Alligator mississippiensis: one gene and its partners. The protein of the gene in region 1 interacts with the protein of each later gene in a biochemical or structural test. Links are inferred from orthologs where the notes say so. Each region holds a gene or a part of one and is shown on either strand. Other genes may lie near its edges. The genes, in order: PDZK1, CYSLTR2, CRHR1 and SDK2.

Evidence for each region.
Region 2: the proteins of PDZK1 (region 1) and CYSLTR2 interact in a test that uses a peptide from one of them, tested with the Homo sapiens proteins (2 studies listed by IntAct, with this or other methods). The link is inferred for Alligator mississippiensis from reciprocal best matches to the Homo sapiens genes PDZK1 and CYSLTR2.
Region 3: the proteins of PDZK1 (region 1) and CRHR1 form a complex in vitro, tested with the Homo sapiens proteins (2 studies listed by BioGRID and IntAct, with this or other methods). The link is inferred for Alligator mississippiensis from reciprocal best matches to the Homo sapiens genes PDZK1 and CRHR1.
Region 4: the proteins of PDZK1 (region 1) and SDK2 interact in a test that uses a peptide from one of them, tested with the Homo sapiens proteins (2 studies listed by IntAct, with this or other methods). The link is inferred for Alligator mississippiensis from reciprocal best matches to the Homo sapiens genes PDZK1 and SDK2.

Annotation. Positions count from the first base shown.
Region 1 is NC_081824.1:268,601,642-268,608,822, reverse strand, and holds the start of PDZK1 (Na(+)/H(+) exchange regulatory cofactor NHE-RF3), read left to right. Parts: upstream 1-4,160; 5' UTR 4,161-4,453; intron 4,454-7,181. UniProt on the Homo sapiens protein: A scaffold protein that connects plasma membrane proteins and regulatory components, regulating their surface expression in epithelial cells apical domains.
Region 2 is NC_081824.1:413,727,834-413,735,485, reverse strand, and holds the start of CYSLTR2 (cysteinyl leukotriene receptor 2), read right to left. Parts: upstream 3,009-7,652; 5' UTR 2,867-3,008; intron 39-2,866; 5' UTR 1-38. UniProt on the Homo sapiens protein: Receptor for cysteinyl leukotrienes. The response is mediated via a G-protein that activates a phosphatidylinositol-calcium second messenger system.
Region 3 is NC_081827.1:156,222,987-156,230,494, forward strand, and holds the start of CRHR1 (corticotropin-releasing factor receptor 1), read left to right. Parts: upstream 1-4,490; 5' UTR 4,491-4,568; coding exon 4,569-4,619; intron 4,620-7,508.
Region 4 is NC_081831.1:2,115,635-2,122,635, forward strand, and holds the start of SDK2 (protein sidekick-2), read left to right. Parts: upstream 1-3,991; 5' UTR 3,992-4,353; coding exon 4,354-4,426; intron 4,427-7,001.

The DNA of each region.
Region 1 (7,181 bases):
CAGAAATCAGGGATTTTGGAAAAAAGAAACATTTCACCTGGGCAAGAAAACTGAAAACATTAATCCTCTTTGGGGACTGAGGTCCTGAAGCATACTGTGGGTACCTGGAAAGCACTACTGGTTCTTCTTCCTCTTGCCTGGAAAATGTGGGAAGTTACTAGAAAGGAGATGAAGAGACAGAACTGGCGAAGCAGAGCTGGAAAAGGCTCCCAAGCAGGAAAACAAACCAGATGCTTTGTACAGAAGGGGAAGTGACTGAGCTGTCTTCCCTGACAAGAAGAGACCAGGTGTATCTGCAAGGCTGGGGACAGACATCCAAAATGCCAGAGCCTGAATTAATTCAACCCTTGCAGGTTAATCTAACCTGCCCAGGTTGAACCAGTTTGTAACAGGATAGACATTCCCAGTGGACTGAGGAACTGAGGGCACATGCCTGCAGTTGCTCAGGCCAGGCGCCAGGAGGTGGTAGAGCACATTCTCGACTGCAGGGAAGCTATGCTGCGGGGCCATGGCCAGCCTGGGCTGAACTGGCCAGAGAGGGATTTCATTCCCCATTCCCTGTCCCACCAGCAGGGCCCTGATCCAGGTCTGCTAGGCACTCCCTCATTGCTGCTGCAGCAGCAGGGCACAATGGCCCCTGAGACAGATGGGGCCAGGAAGTGGGGTTAGTCTCCCCTCTAACTAAAGTGGCAGCCAGATCTGCCTGCGGTCAGTGCTGCGCTCCCTTTCTGAGGCGGAACAAGCCCCCTGCTGTCCCCTCCACTGGACACCGGAGGGAGGGGGACTAACCCCCCTCCCTACCTGCCCCCCTTCAAGGGGCCCTGCCAGCCAACTTCTGGCCATACCCCCATCCCACGACTGCAGTGGAAGGGGGCAGGGCCCTTGATGGGGGCAGCAGCCCCTGTCATAATGTCAGGGAGTGCAAGCCCTTCCAGGCAGGGGCACTGCACTATGGCGTGGGCAGAGCTGCAGCAGGCTGCATGTGGCAGCACCAGGGTCCGGAAGGGGCCAGAGCCCCCTAAGCCCCCACAGCGCTGCCATTGCCATGGTCCACAGCAGCTTTCCTTGCCCTACAGTGTGGCCCCCCTGCTGGGAAGGCAGCCCACTGCAGCTCTGCCCACCCCGCAGTGCAGAGCCCCCACTGGGAAGGGGCTCATCAGTGGTGACATGTAGGGGGTGCACAGGGGTGCACGTGCACCCCCTGAGAGCACTGGTGCAGCCCCTGACCAGCCATGCTTGCTGCTTAGGTGACAGGCAGGGGAAGCAGGCAGGAATGCTGGTGCCCCCCCACGAGCGCTGGCAGGGGAGTGGGAGCACCATGGCTCACTGACCCCCACCCTCCCAGTCAGTGAGATTGGCTGCAAGAGGACGTCCCCCCGCTCAGTCCCCCCGCTGACTGGTCACTGGGGTGCCATGTGCCCCCCCCCGGACTAAGGTGGTACCAGTTGCCCATGAGGCTCACACTGACATGACAGGGGCTGCTGCCCGCATTAAGGGCTCTGCCCACTCCCACTGCAGCGGCAGGGAGGGGGCAGGGCTAGACACCGGCCAGCAGGGTCCCTTGGTGGGGTGGGCAGGGACAGAGGTTATTCCCCCTCCCTCTCGCATTCAGCTGAGGGGACAGCCGGGGACTTATTCTGCCACAGGGAGTGAGCATGGCACCAATGGTGGGAAAACCTGGCTGCCATTGAGGATAGAGGGGAAACTAACCCCACTTCCTGCCCCACTCTGCCTCAGGGCCATGGTGCAGCAGCAGTGAGGTGGGAGCTCCTGGCAGACCTGTTGGTAGGACAGAGAGGGGGGAATTAAACCATTCTCTGGCCAGACCCCTACCCCTGCCCTGGCTGGGAAGCAGTGGGGTCAGCCCTGCTAGCCTGGAGCAGAGAAGGCAGCCCAGAGAGCATGCTGGGATGCTGGGGGACTCTGGTTTAAGTTAAACCAGGAAGGGGTCTGAGACAGACATTGCATAAACTGGTTTGAGCCAAATCAGTTAAGTCTACATTCAACCACGTTTATCTCAAACTGATTTCGGCCATTTTGAAACTGGTTAACGTCCACTGAATGCCTGTTCTGTTACAGATTTAAGCCAGTTTCTGAGCATTTAAACTGGTTTATGTGTACTGTCTCTAGCCCAAGTCGGAAAGGATAAATCATGAACTGCCTACCTGGCTAAATAGAGATGGGCACTTCAGCCTTCAGCGTTAGCTAGACTGAGCTGTATTGCATAGGGGAATCTGCTTGTTTTTCTAATGATCTGTAATCTTTTGTGCTTCATTGTGTCTATTAACAAGCCAGGATGTGTTTCTGCACAGTTTCTAAGCCTATCTCTATGTTTGTCTGCTTCCCCATTTGAACAATGGGGGCAGCAATAATTACAATTTCTCATTGGGATGGAAGTGCTATAGAAGTGCCAAAGGTTATTTTACTCACAGTCTTCTGCACCACCTTACTGTATGCTTAGTAAAACCTAGGATTGGCACCAAGATCCTAAAATCAAACAAAAATTTCTTCCCTTGAGAGACCCTGCAAATATGATACTGTAACCTTAGCTCAGTTAGGCACTACAGCATACAGTTGAATTGGCAGAGTTATAGTTTATCCCTGCTATAAATCTGGAATGATGGCTTGTAAACAGATAACTCCTTAGGTAGCACAGATAAGCTTTACAGAGTTTGCTCCGAGCTTGCATCTGATTCCAGCAGGAGTTCCTAAGTGGAGAAAACACATGCTTATTTTAAAGTAGTTACTCCCCAAATGTTAATAATGTGACAAAGAGAACACAGCTGCAATGCAGTAACATAGCTGAGTGATACATAGGGGGAGGTTGAGTTATGGGGTGGGTTGCAAAAACAGCAGCCCAGCCAACGCTGCTGCTGGCAGCATTGCCACTAATGCTGACCCACAAGCCACCCCTGCCCAGGGTGCAGAAATGCCCACACTCACCTCTGCTGCAACAGAAATAAGCATGAGATGGAGCATAACAGGCCTTAAGTGACCACAAACCCAGCTCCCCGGGGGCGTATGATTACATGAGCTGTGCTTTTTAAGGGTCTAGACATCAGATGTGCAACAGTGCTTAAGAACATGCCCTAAATGACTCAGAAATCAGAAAAGCAAACGATAAAAGTCCTGCTTTATGATTTTTTAAGTCAATTTCATGATTTGGGGGCCAATCTCATCATTTCTGAGCACATGGGGTAGGCCATGCTGAACATTAAAAGCTTTCAGACACAGTGGAGGGCCTCTCACGCAGACCACACTGACAAGTGCTCTGAGCCACGTAGAGGTCCTTTCTCCAATGCTTGCAGCTGCTGACTCATTCTCTCCAAAGAACTTTACCCTTATTGCATTGGCCTATTACACAAGAACCCCCACCCAGTCTCTTGCCTGCCTTTGAGACCGACTGCTGTCCAGTCACAAAGGGTATTCACAACCCCATTCCCAGGTATGGAATTTTCCTTCTGGGAAAAGGGTATCCCAAGCCCCCCTCTCAGGTGCCAGGCTCTTCTCCATGGATTCTGACCCTTCTGGAATCTACCTACAAACATTGGCCCTCTCTTCTGACTTCGCTGGAACATCTACATAGGCTTAAATTACTGTTCTTAAAGCAATTACTAGTCTGTAACACATCTCCAGTACCCACGAAGCTGATGGAGCCTGCTCATGGAGGGAATATCAAATGAAGCTGCATTATGACAACACCACATTACCTCAACTGTTGTGCAGTCCCCGGGGGCTTCATAATAAAGTGACTGGCAGTCAGAGGACTTGGATCCTATTCCCAGCTCTACCATTGACCTTGATCAGGCTTTCTATTGTCCTCCTGCTGAAAGCACTTTGCTGGGCCTCTTGCTTCCTTCCCACCCTTTGTCTTCCTTCTATGTTAAATTGTAGGTCTCTGGGGCAGGCACTATGACTATGTTTTTTCCTGCAGTGCCTAATACTGTGGGGCTACAGTCTTCGTTAGGACATTTAGGTGCTGCAGTAATACAAATAACATTGATTTCTAGCCACAATCTGCCTTGCAAACTCACTTAGAGTGCCTATGCAAGGTCTAGATAAGTTTGCTATATATAGCACATATACGTATATATCTGCATTCACCCATCAGTCAGGTTGACATTTCCCTGATCCTTATTTTCATTGTCTCTCTGGGAAAGCTCAAAGATCAGGCTTGTCTTGGACCCACTCCTGGAGAAACCCGAGTTTGCTGGTGTAATAATCAGTGGAACATGGAGTGGAATTCAAAGCTGCTGAGAGGGGAGAAGCACTTTGTAGCTCAGCAGGCTGGCCCAAGGCAGGTTATCAAGTAGATAACCTATGCAGTGAAACTCAGTTAAATAAATCATCTTTTAAATCAACCTTTGCTCTACCAAAGTCCAGCTGTGCCTACAGTTACAACCACCAGGAGAGACTGCTGCAGAGCATTCCTGAGGATAGAGCTCTTACACAGGTAGGAATTTCCTTTTCTTCTTCACTGCTCACTATCCTCCAAATCTCCTTCTTGTTACAAAGCAGATTCCACCATGTACCATGCATGTAAGGCTTCCCTGCACTGAGAATGGCATTTCTATTTGTCTTTGGAATTTTCCTTCCCCTCCACCTGATTGTGTAAGCTTTGTCTACATTGGGGTTTTTCTTTGATTTCAAGCACCAATGCTCATTCCTAGTGTTCAGCGGACAGACTGCTATGACCTTCAATTTTAATCAATGTAGCCCACTGGTTTCAGGAGTAAGCTCCACTGAAATAGGTAAATTGTGTGTTTCTACATAACAGAGGATGTTGCTCTTTACAGTTGATGGGCTAAAGAGCAGAGCAGAACCTCTGTCAAGATGAACTCTCTGAATAGACCCTGAGGAAAAAGCTAAAAAGAATAGAGGGAATGGGTGCAGCAGTACTTCCTTCAGTCTTAACATCCCCTGTGGTGTAAGCGTTATAGACTGGAGGCATTGTAGAATATTAAGTTACTCTTTCTCTCTTGACAGTGGGGGAGCACCAAGCTACCAAGCTTCCTTTATCCTTCTAAACTTCTTCTGAAGTGTCTGTGCTTCAGATACTTTTGACAGCCTAGCTGACCCACACACACCCTTCTACCAACAGGGGAGGGGAAGGGACTGTAATAATCTTGGTGTGTATTTACACATGCATGCATGCATGTCTATGTATGTGGGTGCATGGGTGTAGGAATCCAATTTCTGGGGGATATCAATCATATAGTTAAAAATTTGGAGTGGTGAGTCCACAGCCAGAACTTGTCTGGTGCTGGACTTTGCGGGATACTTCCCTCAACGTATCTGTGATTCTTAGAAATATTGGGGGGGGGGGGGGGGGGTTTGAAAGAGCTGTCGTTAGCACCACAATTTCCCAAGGCCAGACCATCTGTACAACATAGTAATCTAATCGTGCTCCAGAGTCAAACTCCCTTTGCCTCTGATGAAATTCTCTATGCTCAGAAGTTCATGGGCTCTGTGGACATGGGTTGTTTTCTGCTAGTGGTCACAGAGTATATTCAAAGGCAAACATGTGATCAAGAGCCTGAAGTGAACTGTGTGCCAGATCCTCATAGTAAGTGTTCCTGTGTACATCAGCCACAAGATAAAGAGTGAAAGGCAGTGATTATGAAAGTTTTACAATGGGTGATTAGATGGCCTTTATCGGCCTAGGCTGTGATTAATGTATAATCTCTCCAACACAGCTTTCCGTGGTCATCTCACAGATTCCTGCTAGTAAAGAGAGGATGAAGAAAGTCCATTTTTGCTGAAGCCCGATAGATTATCGACTCATTATTGCCTGAACTTCCAGAGAGCCTACATTGTCCAAATTAGCCACCACTTCATCCCATGGACATATTTATCAATGTGGTTCTTTGGCAGGATTGCTTGAGACGCCTTCCCTAGAGAAGCAGCTTTCTCTGCTTGCTTTCTGTACCTTAAACCTGCCTTTTCATGACATAACTCTCTAAAATAGCCAGGCACCCAAAGAGATAGTGTACTATTCAGCCTAGTAGTGGTATTCATAGCCAAGTATGCAAAAGAACTAGCTGTCCCTGCCACATGGCTACATCAACAAGCTAAAGAAACATTCCAGACAGACACTATTACCTTCCAAAGAGGTAATTTAGGATTAGCATATTTATTTGCCTGTTTCTGCTAAAATATTCAGCAATGAACTAGCTGGAATCTGAGGATTCCATAAGTCGTCTCATGCATAAAATATTCTGATTCAGTAGGTAGGATAGTGGTCTTGAACATCCAAATTACTAGTAGACCCCTCAGTCTTGCTCCATAAGCAGCAGAAAGGGAAATGAAAAATCATCAAGTCCTTTTTTGGCCAAGTAAGCGTATCATTTGTGGAGACAATGCTTGGGTATGGAGAACCAGACATTGAACTTGGCCAGAGAAAGGTGCTTTGTAAATAGGTGCCAATTGTTGGCATTGGATTTATGACCCAGATATCTTAATCTGAGTGGACCCAAACCCTCATACCAACCAGGACTTCCTTTTATCCAATAATTGACAAATTTTATTGATACACAATGATAGTATACAAGAATAATACAGGCAAGGCAAACAAAATACACACCTCTCCTACCTCCCAATTCTAGATCTACCAGTCCTAGGGTTGTCACAGAGGGGAGGTACGTCTGGCCAGCACGCAAGCTTGACCCTGTGGTTTTCTTGGATGTCAGCAGCCTGGAGACCCACTCCCACCCATTCCCCCCACACTGAGGTGGGTGAGATGGGCTGGTGATATGCCCCCTGTCCATGGTAGCCTCATAATCCCACCTCAGGAACCCTTTGCTGCTCTTTTTGTATTCCTTCCTTTTGTAGTCTCTCTCTCCTCTGCTGACTCTCCATTTCTGGGCATCATTGATTGGTCTCCCTGTGGTCATCGTACTGTCCACATTCTGTTCTGTCAGCATATTCCTTTGTTCCAACAAACCCATCAAATGCACGCATCTTAATTTGATCATTTACCAGCATCTTAATTTGGACATGCCCCGGATGCCTCAAAACCAGAAATCACAAGGTCTCTGCAGCTAGTCACTGTGACCTGGCTCCAACATGGCAAACCTATCTTTTGTTATGGATTAGAGTGGTACATGTTTTCAATTTCCCAGCCTGTTTGTCTGCTGGCTTCAAATATGGTGGGCCTTGAAGCAAAAGTTGTCACAAATAGG
Region 2 (7,652 bases), about 150 Mb from region 1:
AATTTATTGTATTTTGCTAGGGTCAGAAGTCCTGGACTCTAAAAAAAAAAAAAAAAAGAATTAAAATCAGAGTTCTGCAACCTGTTATAAAGTTTGTGTCATGTATCTTTAAAAATATGAGTGAATTAAGCCTGTGTGGTAAGCATAAAAGCTAAGGGAACTGAGGTACAGTGAGGCTAGTACCTTGCTGAAAACCACCCAGCAAGATACTGAGAGCTGCGTATCACCAATAAGATCACAACAGAAAGGAGTAATAGGGAGATTCAAATATTGCCATGGAGAAATGTACCTTTTAACATTTTTAAAAGGGAAAGGGAAGTTGCTGCTTGGGAGTACACATTAGCTGTTGCGATCTAACTCAGAGGTGAAGCAAGGCAACTATGCGGCATGTGGGGTAGCATCAGGCTGCGCTGCCAGCACTGATAGCAGGGTGTGGACAGCCATCAGCTGATGCCCTGGTCACAACCCCTCAATTACATTACCAATCCAACAGTTTGGTAACCTTACATTACCAATCTACATGGTCCTATAATGATACAAGTTACCTAAATCTCTATAACTTTAACCCTGAATGACATGTATCACTACAGAATGATGCAGGCATAACAGCAACAGCAGTTTATATCAGTAGCATTTGATATCAGTAAAATTGTTATATCTGTCTATAGCTGAAGTGAAGATTCATCATAGAACCAACTGGGGAGGGGATACACACCAGGCCTACAGCACAATAGCTAATGCACTTCAGATTAGGTGATTTAGCTGAGACCAGCCACAAAATCTTCCTTGAATTATTGATCCCTCAAGAGTTCTCACAGGTGTTACGTTTATGGTGCATCCAGACAGCCATGGGTCCTGGGGCTATCCCCAGCTGATCCTTAGGAATCAGGTTGGGGCAGCTCCTGGTCCTAAACTAGAACCTGGGACTGCCTGTGCCTGCTTCTGACATTCAGCTGAGGATCAGGCAAGATCAGCCTGGGGGCAACCAGACTTAGATGAATTAAAATGTCTATAAAAAGTTATAGACACTTTGGAAAATTAATAATATGGGTCCTGATTCTGCTCCCTGTCACATCAGAGAGTGGTGGTGGATGGGTTGTTCTCGGCCTGGAAGGAGGTGGGCGGAGGGGTCCCACAGGGTTCGGTCCTTGGACCAGTGTTATTTAATATCTTCCCCAGCGATTTGGACGAGGTTGTGGAGAGTACCCTCTCCAAGTTCACAGATGATACCAAGTTATGGGGCAAAGTTAACACACCGGAGGGCAGGGAGCAGATACCGGCTGGCCTGGACAGATTGGATCAATGGGTGGAATGAAATAGGATGCAGTTCAACAAAGATAAATGTAAGATACTCTACCTAGGAAGGAGGAATCCCCAGCACACCTACAGGTTGGGGGATGACCTCCTCAGCAGCTCAGAGGCTGAGAGGGATCTTGGAGTCATAACTGACTCCAAGATGAACATGAGCTGGCAGTGTAACGAGGCCATCAACAAACTAGCGGAGAGTAGATTTAGGTTAGACGTTAGGAAGAATTTTTTTACAGTAAGGATGGCCAGAATCTGGAACGGGCTTCCAAGAGAGGTGGTACTATCACCTAACTTGGAGGTCTTCAACAGGAGGCTTGACAGTCACCTGGCTGGGGTCATCTGACCTCAGTCTTCTTTCCTGCCAGGGGCAAGGGGTTGGACACGATGATCCATTGTGGTCCCTTCTGACTCTATAATCTATGAATCAGACCCACACCAGTATAACATACTCTTTTATTTGTAACTTACATATGCCAGTGAAATGAGACCAGAATCTAACCTGGAACCATTAAATAATATTGAAAATTGCATGGCCAATCCCACTAAATACACACAAATCAGCCACAAAACAAAGATTACCTAGCAATCTATAACCTCAAGTCCTCAGTTAAGTAAAGAACTAGATCTTAAAGCAACCATCTACTAAAACAAGGTTAAGATTCCTTAGCCTGACAATGTAAAATATATTTCTGTTATATTTTAAGAGAAATAGATTATGACACAGCAGTATTTATATTGGATATGAAAAAAGCAAATTCTCTAGTCTGATTTTAAGAAATGCAGAACATTCACAATCCCAGCTACATTAAATGTACCTGCAAGTGCACAGAAATTCTGAAACACTGAACTCTCTATACCAATGAGGACTTGTCATAATACATCTTTTTAAATGATTTTCTTGATACAAAATACCTTCTCTGCTGTTTAAACCATATATTTTTCTCCAAACAGTTTTCTATGGGATTTCAAGTTTGCCATTAGACTAGCAATGTGTTATTATCTATGTTATATTACAGGCATCAGCTACTGCCCTTTCAGAAAGCCAGATGTACGGACATTGGACAAAAAATGAAGCTCTGATTCACTTTGTCCTGTGAATGTTATATTTCAGTTCAGGATGAGAATTGCCAAACAGTTACTTTCCTTTATTGTTGGTTTGGAATTAGCATTGATTTAAGCTGAACTGTGCAGAGACAGGACATTTTATTCACCCTCACGCACACCTTTTAATGAATTGGTAATTTTGTAAACAAAGATTCCAGTTGATACAATCCGTACTTTGCGCCTAGCAAGAAAATTAAATTCATTCACTCAGATTTTTGGTAAACTACCATTAGTTTATTATCTTTCATGTTTCAAAATATTTGTAATTATAGAAAACCACCTTGATGTCCTTTCTTAAGGAGAAAAGAACCTTATTTAATAAACACCTAATATTTCCAGCAGCTAGAAGACCTCTCGTAAGTAACAGGGGGGAAAGTAGGAGGGGCCTTAGTTACTGTTAATAATCTTTATCAACTTAAATACTGAACTAAAAAAAATTACAAACTTGTCCTACCTTAGTATGTGTAGCTTTCAGTTAATTCAGTACATTAGTTCCTTCTTCAGCTTTTGCTGTTCAAAACTGCCAGCCTGCTAGTGGAGGGGGGAAAAGAACCTACATCTATTTATATCACAACCACAGCCAATGAAAAGTAAAAGGAAGTCAGTATTTGTTAGCAGAAGTTTTATTTCTTCAGAAAGATATTTTCTTAGGTCAAGAAAAGGCATTTGCTCCCATACTACATATATCTCTTGTTCAAAAAAATATCAAAAAAGGCTCTGCAGCCACGTAATATATCTAGAAACTTTTTCTCAACTACTCTCATTTCTATCTATAGACTTCAATAATCAAACCAGTAAATTGTTGGAGTACCATAAAATAATTAAAAAATACTTTCCCTGGGAAAATATTCTATTTTCCCAGTGGGGTGCTGGGAAGAGATGGCCTCCACCTCAATCCACTGGGGAGGAGGCTCTTCTTAGCGAGACTGGCTGACCAACTCGACCGGGCTTTAAACTGAGCCCACCAGGGAAGGGGGGGATTACCACCACTGCAAGCCCACTGGGCAGTTTCTGTAAACCCAGCAGGCTAAGGCACTCAAGGGAACCCACCCCTACGGCAGCCCCAGAGCAATCTGTAGGAAAGGCAAGGACCCCCAATGGGACACTTATTTGCCTGTACACCAATGCCAGGAGCCTGGGGAACAAACAGGAGGAACTGGTCCTCCTGCTAAACCAAAAGGATTACAATCTCATAGGGATAACGGAGACCTGGTGGGACTCCACCTATGACTGGGCCACAGGCATAGATAGCTATACCTTGTACAGGAGAGATCATGCGGACAAAAGGGGCGGTGGAGTAGCTCTTTATGTCAAGGAAAGATATGCATCCCTGAAAGCTGACATTAGCACCCAGGAGGGAAGATTGGAGACTCTCTGTGTCAAAATGGGTGGCGAAAAAGGCATAGGGGTCACAATGGTGGGGGTCTACTACAGATCTCTTAGCCAGGATCAAGAGCTTGACCAGGAATTCGCCAGGGAACTAGCTAAGGCTTCACACTCCCAGTGCATGGTTGTCATGGGAGATTTCAAATACCCTGACATCTTGTGGGAAGAGCACTCGGCCAAATCCGAATGGTCACAAAGCTTCCTCATGTGCATGGATGAGCTCTATCTGACTCAAGAAGTCTATGGACTGATGAGAGGCAGAGCTCTGCTCAACCTGGTACTGGCAACAGGGATGACTTAATCAGTGACCTAATGATCGAAGGGAAGCTGGGAGACAGTGATCATGAGTTGATCACCTTCACCATCTGCCTTAAAGCAGGCAAGCCAGTCAGCAAAGCAGAAGTCCTCGACTTCAGGAAAGCTGACTTTGACAAGCTCAGGAGGCTTGCTGGCGTGGCCCTAAGAGACCACGACCCAAAGTGAAGGGGAGTTCAGGAAGAGTGGTTGCTCCTCAAGGGAGCAATCCTGAAAGCACAAGCAATGTCTATCCCATCTAGGGGGAAAGGCAGCAAAAGGGCACAGCAGCCCCCCTGGGTCTGCAGGGAACTAGTGGACCTCCTGAGACTAAAAGGAAAGGCCTATTAAGGATGGAAGGCTGGATCCACCCCAAAGGAGGAGTACTCTGCACTGGTCTGGACCTGCAGGGAGCGAACCAGGAAAGCCAAGGCTGCAACTGAACTCCAACTGGCTACACGTATCAAGGACAATAAAAAGTCATTTTTTAGATATGTGGGGAGCCAGAGGAAAAGCAAAGGTAACATTGCACCCGAGCTAAACCATATTGGTCAACTGACAACTGACACCCAGGAAAAAGCCAACCTGCTCAATGGGTATTTTGTGTTGGTTTTTCACCAGCCCCAAGGGACGGCCTTGCTCAATATGGTATGGGACAGCCAGGGTGAGAGAGAGCTGTTACCCTTCATCAGTGTTGACCATGTGAAGGAACACCTTGAGAGGCTGGACACCTTCAAGTCAGCTGGCCCAGACAGCTTACACCCCAGGGTACGTAAGGAGCTGGCAGGCATCATAGCTCAGCCGCTGGCACGGATCTTTGAGAACTCGTGGTGTTCAGGCAAAGTGCCTGAAGATTAGAAGAAGTCCAATGTGGTGCCTATCTTCAAGAAAGGAAGGAAAGTAGATCCGGGGAACTACAGGTCCATCAGCCTGACCTCCATCCCCGGGAAGATCTTGGAGAAAATCATCAAAGAGAGCATTCTTGACTAACTGGCTGAAGGCAACTTCTTGTGGGATAGCCATCATGGGTTTGTTGCAGATAGGGCTTGCCTGACCAATCTCATCTCCTTCTACGACCAGGTGACATACCACCTGGACAAGGGAGAAGAGATTGACATTATATATCTTGAATTTAAAAAAGCTTTCAATCTGGTATCCTATAATCATCTTAGTAGTAGTTGGCAGAAGTCAATCATTGTGGTGCGCCATGACCAGTGGGGTCCCCCAAGGCTCTATCCTTGGGCCTATCCTTTTCAACATCTTCATTAATGATGTGGACATTGGTGTCGGAAAAGGACAGGATGGTGATCCAGGCTGGCCTTGACAGGCTTGGAAAATGGGTGGATGAAAACCTGATGGCCTTCAACTCTGAAAAATGCAAGGTACTCCACCTTGGGAAGAAAAACCTGCAGCATGCTTATAGGCTTGGCAGTACTATGCTCGCTAGCACCACGGTCGAAAGGGACTTGCGGGTCATGACTGACCACAAGATGAATATGAGCCACCAATGTGATGTTGCAGCCGGCAAAGCGAGCAAAACTCTGGCTTGCATCCATGGATGCTTCTCTAGCAAATCCCAAAATGTCATCCTCCCGCTGTACTCAGCCTTGGTGAGGCTGCAGCTGGAGTACTGTATCCAATTCTGGGCTCCAAAATTTAAAAAGGATGTGGAGAAGCTTGAGAGAGTCCAGAGGAGAGCCACACACATGATCAGAGGGCAGGAAAACAGGCCTTATGATGAGAGGTTGAGAGCCATGGGACTTTTCAGCTTGGAAAAGTGCAGGCTCAGGGGGAACTGGTGGCTGCCTATAAGTATATAAGGGGTGTACATCAGGATCTGGGGGAATGCCTGTTCACCAGAGCACCCCATGGGATGACAAGGTCAAATGGTCACAAACTTCTCCAAGACTGTTTCAGGCTGGACATAAGGAAGAACTTATTTACAGTCCGAGCCCCCAAGGCCTGGAACAGACTGCCACCAGAGATGGTGCAAGCATCTACTCTGGATTCCTTTAAGAGTCAACTGGACATTTATGTTGCTGGGATCCTGTGACCCCAGCTGACTTCCTGCCCCTGGGGTCGGGGACTGGACTTGATGATCTTCTGAGGTCCCTTCCAGCCCTAATGTCTATGAAATCTATGAAATGAAAAGAAAACATTAGGGTACATTTCCAAATCATTTCACCACTAATAGCATGTGGTCAACTTGCTGGAATTAGCAATGTTGGGAAACCAACCACATAGCCAACTGCAGAAGATGCATCAGGCACTTTGGCACCTAACTGCACACTGGTCCTTAGGAAATTAGATGCCCAGTTTCTACCATGTTTTAATTGGAGATAGATATCCATTTCTCTCAGACTCTTTGAAAAATCTCAGTCATAATCAACTAGTTTACCATTTTCTGTTGCCTTGATGGTAGCTCTCAGTTACACAATGGTTCCATAATATTGCTTTTCCAGATAAAAGGGTCTTAGAATGGGCAAAAATAATCTTCTGAGAACACTCCATAGGCTGGTGGCTCCCTGGGCATTGTACAGCTTGTGTCAAAACTGCTCACACACCCCATAAGAGGATGAGTTGAACAGTTGGTTTTGCAAGTCCTGTAACAGGGGCCCCTAACCTCTCTTACTCATTTGAGAAGGGTGGCATTACATAGCTGCAGAGCCACAGGCAGCAGCTCTAGAGGGCTGCAAGCCGCAGGTTGTAAACTGCAGGCCTCAAGAGCTGGGACCTGCAAGCTGCAGGCATCAAAGACAAGCCTAGTAACTACCTAAAAGGAGCCCCTGTCTCATATGTTTGCAGATGGCACCAAGCTAGGGGGAGTAATAGATATGCTGGAAGGTAGGGTTAGGATTCAGAGGGTGTATCTACAATTGTTGCTATGGCAATATTGTGACTGCACTGTGATTTAGTACTTCCAAAAGGAAGTACTAAATCACAGTGCAGTAACAGCTCATACTGAGTCATACGTGTGACGCGCATTTATTTTTAGCAGCTACTTCACTGTTGTGGTGCACTTTAGTGGGGGAGCGTGTTGCTATGCCAAAATAGCTGTTGGTCACATGTAAACACCCACGGATGCTAGGTCATGGTAGCGCATTGCTACAGCAATGTAGTATCACATGTAGACATGTCCAGAAAGACCTAGACAAATTGGAGGATTGGACCTAAAGAAATCTCATGAGGTTCAATAAAGACAAGTGCAAAGTCCTGCAATTGGGATTCAAAAAATCTCATGCACTGGTACAGGCTGGGGGCTGACTGGCTGAGCAGCAGCTCTGCGAAAACGGACCTGGGTTACAGTGGACAATAAACAGAATATGATCCAACAATGTTCCCTTGTTGCCAAGAAGGCTAACAGTATGCTGGGCTACATTAGCAGAAGCGTTGCCAGCAGATCAAGGAAAGTGATTATTCCCTTTCTATTCAGCACTGGTGAGGCCACATTTGGAGTACTGTGTTCAGTTTTGGGCACCCCACTACAAAAAGGATGTGGACAAATTGAAGAGTCCAGCAGAGGGCAATGCAAATGGTGAGGGGGCTGGGGCATGTGACTT
Region 3 (7,508 bases), on another chromosome or scaffold:
CAGGGAGCGACTGAAACCAGCTGGGAGAAAGCCATGGAGAGGATTTGAGTGCCCACCTACTTTTGTGACTAGAATTCCTCTCCTTCCTTTGCATGCAGAGAAGGGCATCTGTCCTTTCAGGGCACAGGCAAAGGATAAGCAGCTGCTGGTGCCCTTTTATCCATTACCCATTTGATAATGTCTCAAAATTTTCCTTTGTATCATTCCTTTTAATGGAAGTGCCAATATAATATGCTCTTCAGGAACCCAAATAAATAACTTGCATGATGCCAATGAGCCCAAAATATATACAGGAATTACTTTGCTTGTTCCTGAAATGCAACAAACTCTGGAGTGGAACAGAGGTGTTTTATCTGTGCTCAAAAAAACTGAAAGATTTACTCAGAGAGGTGTAGAAAAATTCTGCATCTGGTTGAAAATGCAGACACACAGTCCAGGTAGGTGGCATGTCATTACCCACTTTGGAATCTGACTAGGAAATCATCTTGTCCTGGATATGGGGCCATAGGATCACATGTTTGGTTTCTTTGGGGTTTCAAATAACATCTGTCAAAGCAACTCTTAGCACCTATTTGCTTTCTTGACAGAATGTGAAGACTTCAGGCCTGATTCTCAGGAAATCATCCACCGAAGTCCATGAAACTAGGGTGAGGAGAGTCGAGTTCTATCTACAAGTTTTCCCCAGGCTGCTGCATCTGTGTCTCCCCTACCACCCTATCAACTGTCCCTTTTCTACTAAAATCCTACTGGAAAGTTAGGTAAGAATAGTACCCTTAGACCTAGAGGTAGACAAAGGGGCATGCTGCCTAAAGAGCCTCTAGAGTGCTTAGATTAGCACACACCCCACTGATTTACCTGGCTCTCCCGAAGGGAGGGGAGGGCGAGCTGCCAGCAGGCAGAGCGGTCCCTGTGCTGTGTGTGCATTGGGGAGAGGGCTGGTGCTTCCCTCCACAGCAGGGGTGGCTCCCCGGCTTCCCACCCCCACCAGGTGGCAGTCCCGGGGGGCACCGCAGCCAGGGAGGAAAGCACCAGGCCCCTGCAGCTCAGCCAGGCAGGCGGGCTCCAGGAGTGGGGAAAAAATAAGATCAGGCTCACCGGGCTGCTGCCAGGCTGCCTGCAGGGCTTCCTACAGAGCTGTGGAACTGCATGGAGCCCAGTGCTTTGCTCCATGGTTGTAGGGGCAGCAAACTAAAACTCCTTCGAGGAGTTTTAGTTTGCTGCGCCCCAAGTCATTTAAGGCATATTACACCACCAAATTTCCTACAGCAGCTAGAATTCACGTTCAATACACTGCCGAGGCATGCAAACACCGACACCATTAAAGCGATGCAAAAGCATTTAGCCGGCTTTAAAGTGTTATGCACACACGGCTCCTCCCAGCCCTGGGACTCCTCCTGAACCTCCTCCCAGCTCCTCAGCAGCCCTAGTAGAACAAGAAGCATAGACAGCCACCAGAAGCATAGACAATCCCCAACATTAAGCGTTAAGTTCCTCTCCCTCTAAAAATACCTCTGCTTGAGAGTAGGGAGGAGGAATTGGGACCTCAGGAACCTAGCGCAAAGTTGCAAGAAGTGCAGTCATTTCCTGAGAATTACTAGCCAGGAGAAGAGAATCCAATATCTCCTGGCCCTGAGTGGAGGAGGGGGAAGTTTGGTCCAGCAGGAAGAGTAAAAAGGCAGGCTTGCCAAGTGATCCAGGACTTTGAGAACTGGTGTTCAGCTCTTTGCTGCATGACCTTGGCTCTGGCACCTAGGCTAAGATCCTGCAAAGGAAACAAGGTGCCTAGGTCCTGCTCCACGAGGGAGTTTGGCTTAGTTTCCTTGAGGATCTCAATTTAGTCTCACTGGCCCTCTAGCTATTGCCATGGCAGGACTTCCCGGCCCATGGGGGTGGGAGGCTAATTATGTCATTGGGGAAAGAGGAGTCAAACAGACATCTTGCGCTGTAAGGGGTCCTGGCTCCATACCACGTGCTTTCTGAGATAGCAACTTCCCTTCCCTGTGTTCTGCTCTCCCTTAAGCAAAACCAAGCTGATAATCCTGATGAAAGCTCTTGGGGAGAGCAGTGGTTGAGCCTATCATCAGCAAAGGGCTTAGCAAGCCTCAGGGAATGGGCTGGTACACAGCTGAGCATCGCTCGGGGGTCCCATACAAATCTACGGAGGCACTCACCTGGGCTGAAATGCCTGGAAAGCCATGCGTTAGAGCCTCAGCCTTCGTGTTTGAAAGAGACGAGTTGCTATGGAAATCTAACTGGGGCTGGACAATCAGATTTTAAAAGACGTTGGCAGGACATCATTTTTCCTCAGTTGAAGAGGCAGGAAAAGGGTCAGGGCCTGTGGGCAAGCGTCAGACTATCGGCATGAATAAATCAAAGAGCACTGACCTTCTGTTTACCTGTCAAGAGTCCTTTGCACCCCTGTGTTGTTCCAGATCACAAGGATTGGCAGGAGCAGGATTGGAAAGGATTAGGATCCATCCTGCCCATGCTACATGCTGCCACACAAGACTTTTATCAGAAACAATGCGTTGCATCAAAGACAAAACCCATAGCATCAGGTAGTTGTTGCAACAGGGTGTAGGGGGAGGACTCCCCAGTTTTTGGAGTATAAGGGATTGACTTCAGTTCAATTACACCCACAGTGGAAGTGCTCAGAAGGGAGGTCCGAGTGGTCACTTGCAGTTAGGTGCAGGGCAGGCTGTCCCCCTGCTCAAAGCAACATGACTGAACTAAACCTCCAGGAAGGTTTCCCATTCACTCCTGTGCAGTTTCTGGCACACTTACTCACCTTGACTTCTCATTACTAATTTAAAAAAAAAAAATCTTGCTGACTGGTTGGTTTTCCTCCTGCTGAATCATCCCAGCAGGTACATTTAAAACTGCCTTCCCTGGGGCTGGCTCCTTCAAGCCCAAAGCAATGCTTGTACAAAGTCTGTGTAGTGCCTGCAGGTGTCTGCCCTCTAGCCCTGCACTAGCACAGTGGTGGCAGCATTACTGCAGAAAATCTTAGAGGGCTTTCCTCACCAGGCAGGACAGCCCCAGATCCTAGTAGAGGAGATGCTGCCAGAAGAAAAATGCTACCGTCTAAGGGCCCAAACCTAGCTGTACCACGGCAGGCAGCATCGCCACCCAAGGGGTGCCACAGAGAGCTGGATGGTACCAGGGCAAGGCAGCAATATCTTGGCATAGCAAGGGGCAGCATTAGTACCCACTGCTTGAAGATAATGGAGTCGGGTCTCCCCTCTACCCATTTCTACCGGAAATTACTCAGTCCAAAAGTGCTGGGCAGATGCCTCCATCAGCTTTGTTTCAGAATCAATTTGGGAAATTATAGCAGGCCCAGGAACAGCAGGATTCAGGCGCAGAGACGGCTGGGCACTGACTTCATTCTGTGGGCAAGTGACAGGAGGCACACAGCCAGCACCCCCTGGGCCAGGTGCCCTCTCTGTGCCATGCTGCAGGCACACTTCCCAAGGCCTGCTGGAGAGGCGAGAGGGGCCCAATGGTTTTATAGATTTCATACATTCGAGCTGGAAGGGACCCTGGAGGATCATCGAGTCCAGACCCCTGCCCAAGGGGCAGGAAGTCAGCTAGGGCCAAAGGATCCCAGCAAGATAAGCATGCAAACGTTTCTTAAAAGAGTCCAGGGGAGGTGCTCGCACCACCTCCCGAGGGAGTCTGTTCCAGGCCCCGGGGGCTTGGACCATAAAGAAGTTTTTCCTTATGTCCAGTGTAAAACGGTCTTGGAGGAGTTCACAACCATTACAGCAGGACAGGAGAAAGCCAGGACTCTTGGCTGCGCTGCCCCAATGTATCCCCCCTCCCACTGCCGCAGCTCTTCAGAACGGGAAGGGGCAGCACCTGCCGGGGAGCGGATGTCCACGGCGGGGCTGGACCTCATCCTTGGAGCTCAGAGGGATGTAAAGGGCCTTGGGGACAGGTGATGCCCAGGCCCACCAAGAGGCTGGCAGGTGACCCCCTAGGTGCCTGGGGGCTTGCAACAGGCCTATATAATTCATCAGGGGAGGGCAGCAGGGAATAGGAGACCCGGATGGCCACAAAACCCACGGAGAGCAGCTTTAGCTTGGACATCAGGAAGAACTTCTTCACGGGCAGGGCAGGGTGGCCAGAGTCTGGGATGTGCTCCCAAGGGAGGTGGTGCTCGCCCCGACCTCTTCAAGAGGAGACTGGACAGGCACCTGGCCGGGTCCCGCCCGGGGCAGGGGGGCCGACTCCATGACCTACCAAGGACCCGAACATCTCTGACTGAGAGGGCAGGAGGCTGCGGGGCGGGCTTGCTCCAGGCCAGGGCAGGCAGGAGTCCTGCCGGCTGCCCTGAGGAGGGGCGGGCCGGTCTCGGGCGCTGCCCCAGCGGCTCCCGCCCCCTGCCCGGCCGGCGGCGGGGGCTCGGGGCGCGGGCCGGGGCCGGCGCGGGGCTCGGGGGAGGAGCGGCGCGGGGAGCTGCGCGGCGGCGGCGGCGGCGGGCGGATAAAAGCAGGCGGGGGCCGCGCCGCACCGCTCGTCAGCCCGACCCCTACCTCCGGGAGCGTGGCACGAGAAGCCGCAGGATGGTGCCCTGCACCCGGCCCGGCCTCTTCCTTCTCCTCCTCCTCCTCCAGGTAAGCTGCTCCCCGCGCTGACTTTCTTTCAGGAAGGAGCAAGCCCAGGCCGGGGCAGCCGGTGCGCTCGGCTCCCGGGATGCGCGCCGCCGTGGCCGGGGGCAAGGTCCGGGCGGCTTCTTGCCCTCCCCCGGCCGCCAGAGGAGACGGGCAGCGGGGGCGAGGCCGTCCCAGCTCTCCTGCCCCTGCCCCGCTCCTGTCCTCTCGCCCGGGCAGCCAGGAGAGCGGGCTGGGGGAGTCCTGGCTGCAATGAATGGGCGAGCAAGAGCTCGCAGCACATGACAGTTGGAAGAGACACCTCGTTCAACCCCTTGCCGCAAGCAGGACCGGCCCCAGCTAGATCATCCCACCCAAGTCCAAGTTCAGGTCTTACAAATCTCCGAGACTTGAGCGATTCCCCCCGTGTCTCTGCTCCAGTGCTTTGCTACCTACCCTCCTTGCCAGTCCCGTTGCTACATTCAAAGGCTTTCCGAGGAAAATGCCCTTTGGTTTCAAGTGCTTTGACTGCAACTTGAATCTTCCAGTTCTGTCAGCTGCAAATATCTGCGCTGGTTGGGCAAGGATTGTTTCCCCCCCTCCTGAAAAGTTTAGGGTTTCTGTTGAGAAAATGCACAGAGCCAAGGATTTTGGGGGAGTTGCCAAATACAGGGTCTTACTCAAATGCTGAACACTTTTTTTTTTTTTTTTTTTAAACGAAGGCAGAGATGGGCTTGAAAAATGTTGGCTCTTTGTTTTTAAAAAAATGAGTTGCCAAAGACATGTCAGTTCTGGAAGACTGAAGTGGTACTATCTGCATAGTTAAAATGACAGAAAATGCAGAGGTTCAAGCTCCCTTAGCACCTTTACTACCTTGTGTTTTGCATCTTGCGGGGATGTCTGAGGCTATCCATTTTACAACATGAACAAGAAGCAGCATTTAGCTGCATGTTTTTAACAGAAAAACACGGTAAAAAGCCCTACGTAAGGGCCAGTATTTGCCAGTAAGTGTTAACATTCGTATAACATCGCTTTTGGACGCTTCTTGACTTTGTTTCATTTGTCTTATCTGTTCATTTGTCTTATCTGTGTGGCTGAAATACTGCATTCATGGAGTTTTTCAAAATTAAATTCTATGGTGGTGGTTCTGCTTTCTGTTAATAAAATGATGGAGATTGCTGCTTGTGCATAGGGTATGCATGTCCATAATCTTGTATTTGGACCTTTTGTCTCCATTAAATAGGTGTATCCTTTCCCCATCCCTTCTTCCAAATACTAATTAATTTTGGCCAGAAGCCAGTCCTGCAGAATTTTATCCTGAGCATTTTGTTAAACTGAGATCAGTTAAAAATGGGCATATTAGGTACCAATATTTCTAGTACTGTCTGTGAAAATAGAGATGAGAGGAAACCAAGCTCACTGAGAAAATGATATATCAAGGCACCTCCATATCTAGGGTCTTGGTGGTTATCTGAACTGTACTGCACTTCAGATAACTTCCAATGGGCCACCCTAGACACTAGTTTTCTCTGCCCATTCGAGTGTGCACCTTCCATAGTTGCTATTGGGGATGGCCTCTCTGTGCAGAAAGACCAGGAGCTTGCTACCCTTGCCTAGTGTCTAGGTAGAGTTAACAGTTCTCTATGGTCTTCATGGCAAACCAGGCACATACGGCTGCTTGTGCTGCTCAAGTCTTTGCCAGGTTTGGGAAAAAAATATGTGACCCTCTTGCTCTGCAGCTGGGAGTAGTCTAGAACCACTTCTGATGGGGTCTCCTCAAGAGATACATGCCTGGTGCCACCTCCGTGGACTGAGTTTGAGTTCATCCAGACAAAAAAATACAACTGATACCGAATGACTGTATGACCAGTCTCACCTGCACTAACTAGCCCCACACCAGAAAACATAAAGGAAAGGTAAACACAGGAACAACTTGTAGATTAATTTAACAATTATTTGCTTTTAATTAAAACCTTGCTAGAAGTGCAGATGTTCCTGAGGCTCCATGAAAGCCACTGGGTACTTTCCTAGTACTCCCAGTCTTGCTTGGAAGTCACTCCATTACCATAGGCATAGGTGGCATTGAAGAAAACACAAAGAATGTGTCTGTGTTGTGGTAGGCATCCAGGTTGTAGCCATATTGTTCTAGAGGAAAAGGCAATCAGAACTCGTAGTAGAGATTTATATCTTTTATCACACAAACAAGATTTTTGCAAAAAAAAATTCTTTAATTGCAAGCTTTCGGGCACAAACACCATTCATCAGGCATTGGAGAAAAAACTGTAAAAGTTCTCTTGGGTAGAAATTAAAGTTCATATTTCATAGAGGACTCCATAGATGGAAAACTCCTCTGGGCAGTCAGTTCATAGCTGGTATGAAGCCTCTCGCCTCCTGTGAGGATCTGCAATGATGCAAATTACCTTGAAACAAAGGCTCAGGTTTCAGGTGGTCACAGTGGCTTCCTGCTTGGGAAAAGATGAAGATTTCATTTTTTATTTTTTTTTAATTGGCTAAAATTTGATATCTGTGTGTCGTATCCAGGTTGTAGCCATATTGGTCTAGAGGAAAAGGCAATCAGGACTCGTAGTAGAGATTATATGTTTTATAGATGAAATCTATATTTTTATATAATAGAGATGATATATAATATAGATTTTATCTATAAAACATCATCTGTACTGTAAGTCTTGATTGTCTATATTGTGGTTGCATCAACAGCTGCATGGCATGTGGTCACACACCCAGCTAGATTGAGAGGAGCTAACTCGGGTCCCTATCACAGTGTATGCACAGAAGCAAATTTCTCATCGTGAACTAATTTATCCCCCTTCCTGCATGAGTTTTGCAGTCTGCGTTAAGCTCTGTGCTGCTGTAGCTCGAATGTTACTGGTAACCAAGCCAGTTTAAAGCATT
Region 4 (7,001 bases), on another chromosome or scaffold:
CGAATCGCATTGCCCCCAAAACATGAAGTTTCCTGTGATCTGTCACGGCTGCGGAGAGACTCTCGGCCCGAGGGAGATGCCAGGAGTCCGAGGGCAGACGGGCAAGGTGGCGGTGGCTTGAAAACCACCTTGTGACTAAGGCAATCTGGCTTCTGCCCGCTGGGTATGTGAGGCTGGCTGTGTGGGCTGTGATACCCCGAGAGACCCCATGGAGCGGGGGAAGCATGCCAAGAGCTCAGGGCTGCGGTGAGTGCCCTTGGAAGAGCCAGAGCAGTCCCTCTGTCTTCGTTAGGAGACTGCCTGGCTCTGTAGCTCTCTGTGAAGCGTTCTGCCTTCGTGCAGCGCCTGGGATGGGGGGTCGCAGGCATCATCTTCTCACCCTACAGATGCCCCAGCCTTCCTCTGCCCTGGGCAGGAGCTCCCCACATCCCCCCAGCCTCACTGGGCCTCTGGCTGGTGCTGCCCTAATCCATTTCTGCTGCAAAAGGCATCCCAGCACTAGGGATATTTCCAACCGAGCAATGAATAAATGAAGAAGCCAGAGCGATTTCAGCTTAACTGGACTTGACTTTTGCCCCCCAGGGCTCTGAGATCAAAGCGCGCTGCCGAGGGCCTTGGCAAATTGCGCCGGGAGCTCTTCGGGAAGGCATTTCCCATGCCCGGGCCCTGCTCGGCTTGGCTTTGTGCAGGGCAAAGAGTGACAATATCCCTTTCTCTCCCCCAGACCGACTCGGACTGGCAGAAACAGGTTCGGTCGGGGAGGGGCAGTGCACGGAGCAACGGGTAATTTCCACCCGCGGGAACCCAGCGGCAAGTAAATGGCACTGCTGGGTGCTGAGTGCTCCTGGCTGGTAATGGAGCCCCGCTGGGTACCGAACAACCCGGGAAAGGAGTTTGGGTTGCTGATGGCCAGGCAGCGTTTTCACTGGACGTCGGACACCATCATGGTGCAGTGAAGCATCCCGTGGCCGGCCTCGCCCAAGTCCTCCTTGGTCTTGTCTCTTATCCTCCCGAGGGGAAAGGACGGGAGTTGGAGGTGGACACCTCTTGCCATTGCCCCGTTACCCTCTGCCAAGGCAGACCCCAAAGGGCTCGGAGGGGAAGGCGTTTCCATTGTAGACGGAGCCTTTTTCTCTGCCGGAACTGGCCTCGGTCTCCAAGCAGATGTAATTCAAGCCCGGGGAAGTATTTTTGGGTTTGCCTTTGATGCGCCCTCTTCAAGCAAGAGGCCAAATAACAGCGTTGAGACCTGCAAATAGCTCTTCGTCAGCCGGTCCACCACATCCCACAGGCTGGTATTATGGGTTACGTGACAGCTACCCAGTCATTAGACTGGGCTGCTTTTCTTTCCACACCCCATGCCCAGGAAGGCCTTGCATCGTCAACCAAGCTGCTTTGTGTGTTTGCTCCCAGGAGCCTCAGCGTGGGATCCAGAGGGATCTTATGGGGTGCGAGAACAGTAAATGGATCCCTTTTACATACTTGACTGGGGCTGGAGCCTTTTTCTGTGGCTTCACAGAGACGATTTCTAGAGGCAGGAAAAGAAACTCTGGAAAATCCACGTATGCAAGAGGCTCCTGGAAACACCTGCATCTTCCCCGTGCAGGGCTGTTCCCATTTTAAACCAGGTGAAACTGTTGCATGCTGTTGGTGTGTGCATACGTGTGCAACATACTGCAATATCAGCTACATCAAATGTCATTAGTAGGGCAGGCAGGATGCGGGGCAGAGTTGAAGGGTGGCGGTGGCGTTTTGGGGTCACCCAAGACGAGAAGGAGAGAGGGTGACTTGCAGAGCTTGTGTGGGAAGGGAGAAGAGTGTGTGCCTCTATCTGCCTGCTAGTGGATAACAGTCTGCTACTGCTGCCAGCCACAAAGAACTAGCTCGCATAGTTCGCATAGCTTGCATAGTTCAGGCCTGTCGCCCTGCAGAGAGCTGGTGGGCCCGGCACGGCTAATGAGACCCCTGCCCCAAAAGCCTGGCATTCTCTCTGATTTCGGGAGCTGTTTCCACATTCGTGGGACTGGGGAGAGGCAAAAGCCTGCCCCGGTAACTCCAGGCTCGGTCTTTCCTGCTGTTCAAAGTATGGGCTCTGTCGCTCTGACATCTGACCGCTGCTTCCAGGGTCACGGAGGAGGGCGCGTGCTCAGCAGCACGAAGCCTTTGCTACAAAACCAGAACGCGGTCCGGTCTGCCCGGCCGCCATGGGCCACGGGGGTGCCGGCAGACACCGATAACAAAGGGCTGGCTCCTCGGTGGGATGAATTGCAATAAATCCCCATAGTCACTAGGGGCAGGCGGCGGATTCTGAACCCGGGAGAGTTTTTCCAGGCCCCGGCCTTGCAAAGCAGGAGGCGCGTGATCCGGACCGTGGGCAGGCAGAAAGTGAGGCATGGGCATTGGGTGTGTGGGGTCCCCCCTTGTTCCTGGGCTAACGCACCTCTGCTGGCTCCGCAGGCCCCCCGGAGAGATGAGGAGGGATTGGAGCCCCTCTTGGTCCTGTCCTCGCTGCTAAAGAGCCCCTGGGGAATTTGCTGAGCTGTGGTGGGGGTGCGTGGTGCCGGGCCCAGGCAGCCCCACAAGATGCACCACCGACACTCCTTTCTATACCGGTTATTATTCCTCACCGTTAAAATTTTACACACGCGTTCCAACTTTTACTACCCGGGCAGCTCATAAACCTTATTTTAAAGGATTCTCTCCGTGCGTGTGTCCCCCAGGGAAATTCAGTTTGCTCATTTCTTCCTGGATATGCCCTGCTTGGAGCAGGAGGCAGGACTAGATGAGCTGCTCAGCCCTCGTGGTCTAGGATTGTCTGTGCTGCAACCTCTCCTGTTTCGCTTTCCCTCTCCTTTGGATCCAGCTGTCTGATACAAGATCTTGCTCTAGCAGAGGCCTCACCGCGGTGTCTGGGCACCTGGCAGCCCACCCCTCGTTTCTTCTCACAGCCCCTGGCCCGGCAGGCAGGCGGCGCAGTTGTTCCCTGCGGCACAGAGGACGCCGAAGCATGTGGATGAAGTGACTCACCTAAGGTCACACAAGAAAATCTGTGCCAGAGAAAGGAATTAGCTCCTAGTTTCTCAGGGGAGCTCGCTAAGCACCGGGCGTCCTTCGTTGCAGACCCACGCTGGGCCTCTCTGGTCCCATCTGATGGGCAATTCTGCTATTGCAGGGCCAGGCATGTGCTGCTTCTCCAATCCAGGCAGCAAGGGGGTTTATACAAAAGGGTTTCGTCTTCCTTGACACGCACACGTACGTACAGTCCCTTACACACACCCAGACACATGCATGCACATACGCTCCCCTACACACCCACACACGCTTCCCATTACATTGAAGGCTCACACCATCCCTTCCTCCACACATGACTGGGGCGGGCTTGCAACCCCTCCCGGGGCTCCCGGCCCCCTTTCCACTCAGCTCCCTTGCCCTGCCCAGAGCCCCCCATGAATCCAGCCCTGCTGTGCAAGGCGCTGTACAAACCAGCTGCACCACCACCCCTCTCCCCCACAGAGGTTCCCAGCCCCCACGGGCTATCCCCGGTGCCCAGGAGTCACCTCCCTAGCTCCCAGGGGTTATCTCCCCAGGTCTTTAGGGTTATCCCCAGCCCCCTGGGGTTACATCCCCAAACCCCATGGGCTATCCCCAGTGCCCAGGAGTCATCTCCAGCCTCCAGGGGTTATCTCTCTAGCTCCCAGGGGTTACCTCCAGTCCCCACGGGTTATCCCCAGCTCCCAGCGATTATCCCCAGTGCCCAGGAATGATCCCCCGCCCCCTGGGGTTATATCCCCGACCCCCAGGAGTTACCCCCAGCACCCAGGAGTTACCCCCAACCCCCCAGGGTTATATCCCTGACCCCCAGGAGTTATCCCCAGCACCCAGGAGTTACCTCCAACCCCCCAGGGTTATATCCCCGACCCACAGGAGTTATCCCCAGACGCCGGGGTTACATCCCCGACCCCCAGGAGCTATCCCCAGACGCCGGGGGTGACCCGCAGCGCCCCGGGGTACTTGGGGGCCCCGCCCCGCCCCGCCCTGCCAGCCTCAGTGTGCCGCTCCGAGCAAGGGGCGCGGGCGGCCGCCGCCGGCTCCGGGCGCTTTCCAAGCGGCGGCCACCGGGGAGCGCTCTGCGCCGCCGCCGCCGCCTCCGCCTCCGCCGCTCCCGCCCCGGCGGCGCCGCGCTCCGCTCCGCTCCGCTCCGCTCCCTGCGCTCCTCACTCGGCGGCGGAGCCCGGCGCGGGCGGCAGCGCCGGGCGGAGCGGGGAGCCGGCCCGGCCCGACCCGACCTCCCTCGCACGGATTACGGCGCCGCCGCTCCGCGAAGTTGCCTCCGCCGGCGCCGCTCCCGGGACCATGGGGCCGGCGCGGATCCTGCTCGGCGCAGCCCTCGCCTCCCTCCTCGCCCTGCGGCGCGCCCGGGCGCAAGGTACCGCCGGGGCACGGGCGCGGGCGCGGGCGCGGGCGCGGGGAAGTTTGCAGCCGGGCCGGGGGGGGAGCCCGGGCCGCCCGGGACTGAGCACAAAGGGATCCCGGCTCCGAGCGTGCCATTGTGCGGCGGGACGTGGCAGCCGGGCTGGGCTGGGCTGGGCTGGGCTGGAGCAACATGTGCTCGGACCCCGCCGCCTCGCTGCATCCTGCCCCGCCATCGTTCCTGCCCTATGCCATCCTACTCCTGCATCCTGCCCCGCCATCGTTCCTGCCCCGTGCCATCCTGCCCCTACATCATTTCTGCCCCAGCATCCTGCCCCGTGCCATCCTGCCCCTGCATCCTGCCCTATGCCATGCTGCCGTTCCTGCTATGCATCCTACCCCATGCCATCCTGCCCCAGCATTATTCCAGCCATGCATCCTGCCTCTGGTATCGTTCTTGCCATGCATCCCACCCCATGCCATCCCCTCCCAGCATCATTCTTGCCATGCATCCTGCCTCAGTGGTATTCCTGCCATGCCATCCTGCCCCCAGCATCATTCCTGCCATGCACCCAGCCCTGGCATCATTCCCGCCCCATGCCATCCTGCCTCCAGCATGATTCCTGCCATGCCCCCAACCCCAGCATTTCTTGCCATGTATCCTGCCCCCAGCATGATTCCCGCCATGCCCCCACCCCTGGCATTTCTTGCCATGCCATCCTGTCCTGGCATGGTTCCTGCCATGCGCCCTGTGCCTGCCTCCCGGCAGGATGGGACCCCCATGTCCCCAGAGCAAGGAGGCTGCGCCGGGTTTCTGGCTGGTTACAGGTGGGCAAGTTCCTAGCACCGGCTTTGTTTGTTGCCTCTGCCGTGCCGTGTTGCTGGGAGAGCTGCCCCCTTCCCCAGCGGTCCCAGGCCTGCCCCGGTCCCTGGCACCCTTCAGCCCCCTTTCCCTGCTGGAGAAAAAAATCGCCTGGCTTTTGCAAGCATCGGCAGTGACCTGGAAAGGGGTAATTCTCCTCCGTGGGAAGCAGCTTCTCCAGCCCAACCCTTGTGTTCGGAGGTTTTTTGGAGAGGGGACGTGGATAGCATGGGATTAAAAAAAGGAAAGAAAATGAAGCCATCGGGAAAAGATGTCCCTGAGAGCTGGTGTTTTTCCAGTCTGGACCTGAAGAAGCCACTTGCTTTGCATTAAGGAATGGGCTTTCACTATTAACACCCCCCCCCTCCCCTTTTTCCAACCCCACTTCCCACCAGAGCTCCCTGCTTCCAAAGTTTTTTATCCAGCGCCCTTCTGGAAGCTGCCCTAATATTTGGTTAGTTATCCAAACAGCTGCTTTCAATGCCTGGAGCAGCTTTTACAGTGCTTGTATCTCTCCCCAGCACCTTACTCCCTCTCTCCTGTATATCTCCAGACCTGTCAAGATTAACAATACAGCCAGGAGAGATTTATATGGGGAAGGCAGGAACACTTGGCCAGCCGAAAGCTTATTACGGTTCTCGGGGAAGGGGGTGGGAAGAGAGGAGCAACGCCGTGGCCCCGGCGCTGAACTTTATTTATTCTTGCCCAGGGTGTGGGCAGAGCTGCCGGCTGGGCAATAGCCCCGCACTCGGTCTGGAGAGAAGCGTCTGCCCCAAATTTGCACTCCCAGATACAGGCTGAATCTTCCAGGGACCCCCGAGATGCAGGCAGAGGGGAGGGAAGCGCAGCTATAAATATATATAATGGGGCAGGTGGGTTTGGCAGTAAAATGCTGCATAATCTCTCCAGGTAGGTGGATAGTAAATGCCTCTGCATCGCTTTTTTTAGGCGGTTGGATTCCTGGCTCCTCGCGCATTGCTTTTTGCTAAGATTAACCCTGTGGGCGCGCGCGCGTGCGTGTGCATTTGTGCGCGGGTATGTGTGCAAGGTTTGCCCTGGCTGAAGTTTTCCAGCCCCTCCAGGCAGAGAGCCGGTGTCGGGACTTGCCCACCGGTTGCTGGAAAAGCCGCACGCTTTGACTGTGCAAATGCCAGATGCCAGGGTGTGTCCCAGCCCGCCGGTCTGCCCTTCCGGCCTGCCTTCCCCTTCCCTGCCCAGGCTGGGGTTGGCCTCGGCGGCGTGGTAGGTTGCGGTAATGTGAGTAAATTAGAGCTGCAGTTTAAAGGGGATTCAAGGCAGCACAGAGTGAGCTAATGCTGCGGGGCAGCGCGAGACCCTGCGATAAGCTAATCGCCTCCAGGATGCTTATGTGCTGTGCGGACTATTTTCGTCTGCCTTTATCTGAATGAGATGTATAAATAGTTGCCTGTTTCTCTAAGGTGCGGCGTTTCATTCGCCGGCGCCAGCCGATATGGGCTGCTGGGACTCTGCAAAGGCCGTGCCGGAGGGGTCCTGGGGCAGAAGGAAGCGCTGCTCTTTTAGACTTTAATTAGTGCCGAGACCCAAGATGCGCAGATGCTCTTTGCTTAACCACCCAGAGCTGGGGAGCGGAGGGGCGGTCTCCTGGGCTCCCCTCCGGCCTGGCACAACTTTATTTGGTGGAGCCGCGCCTGCAAAATGCTTCGAAATCATAGCGGCGAGGTCTCTCTCCTTGCTGGGCGAGGGCCGA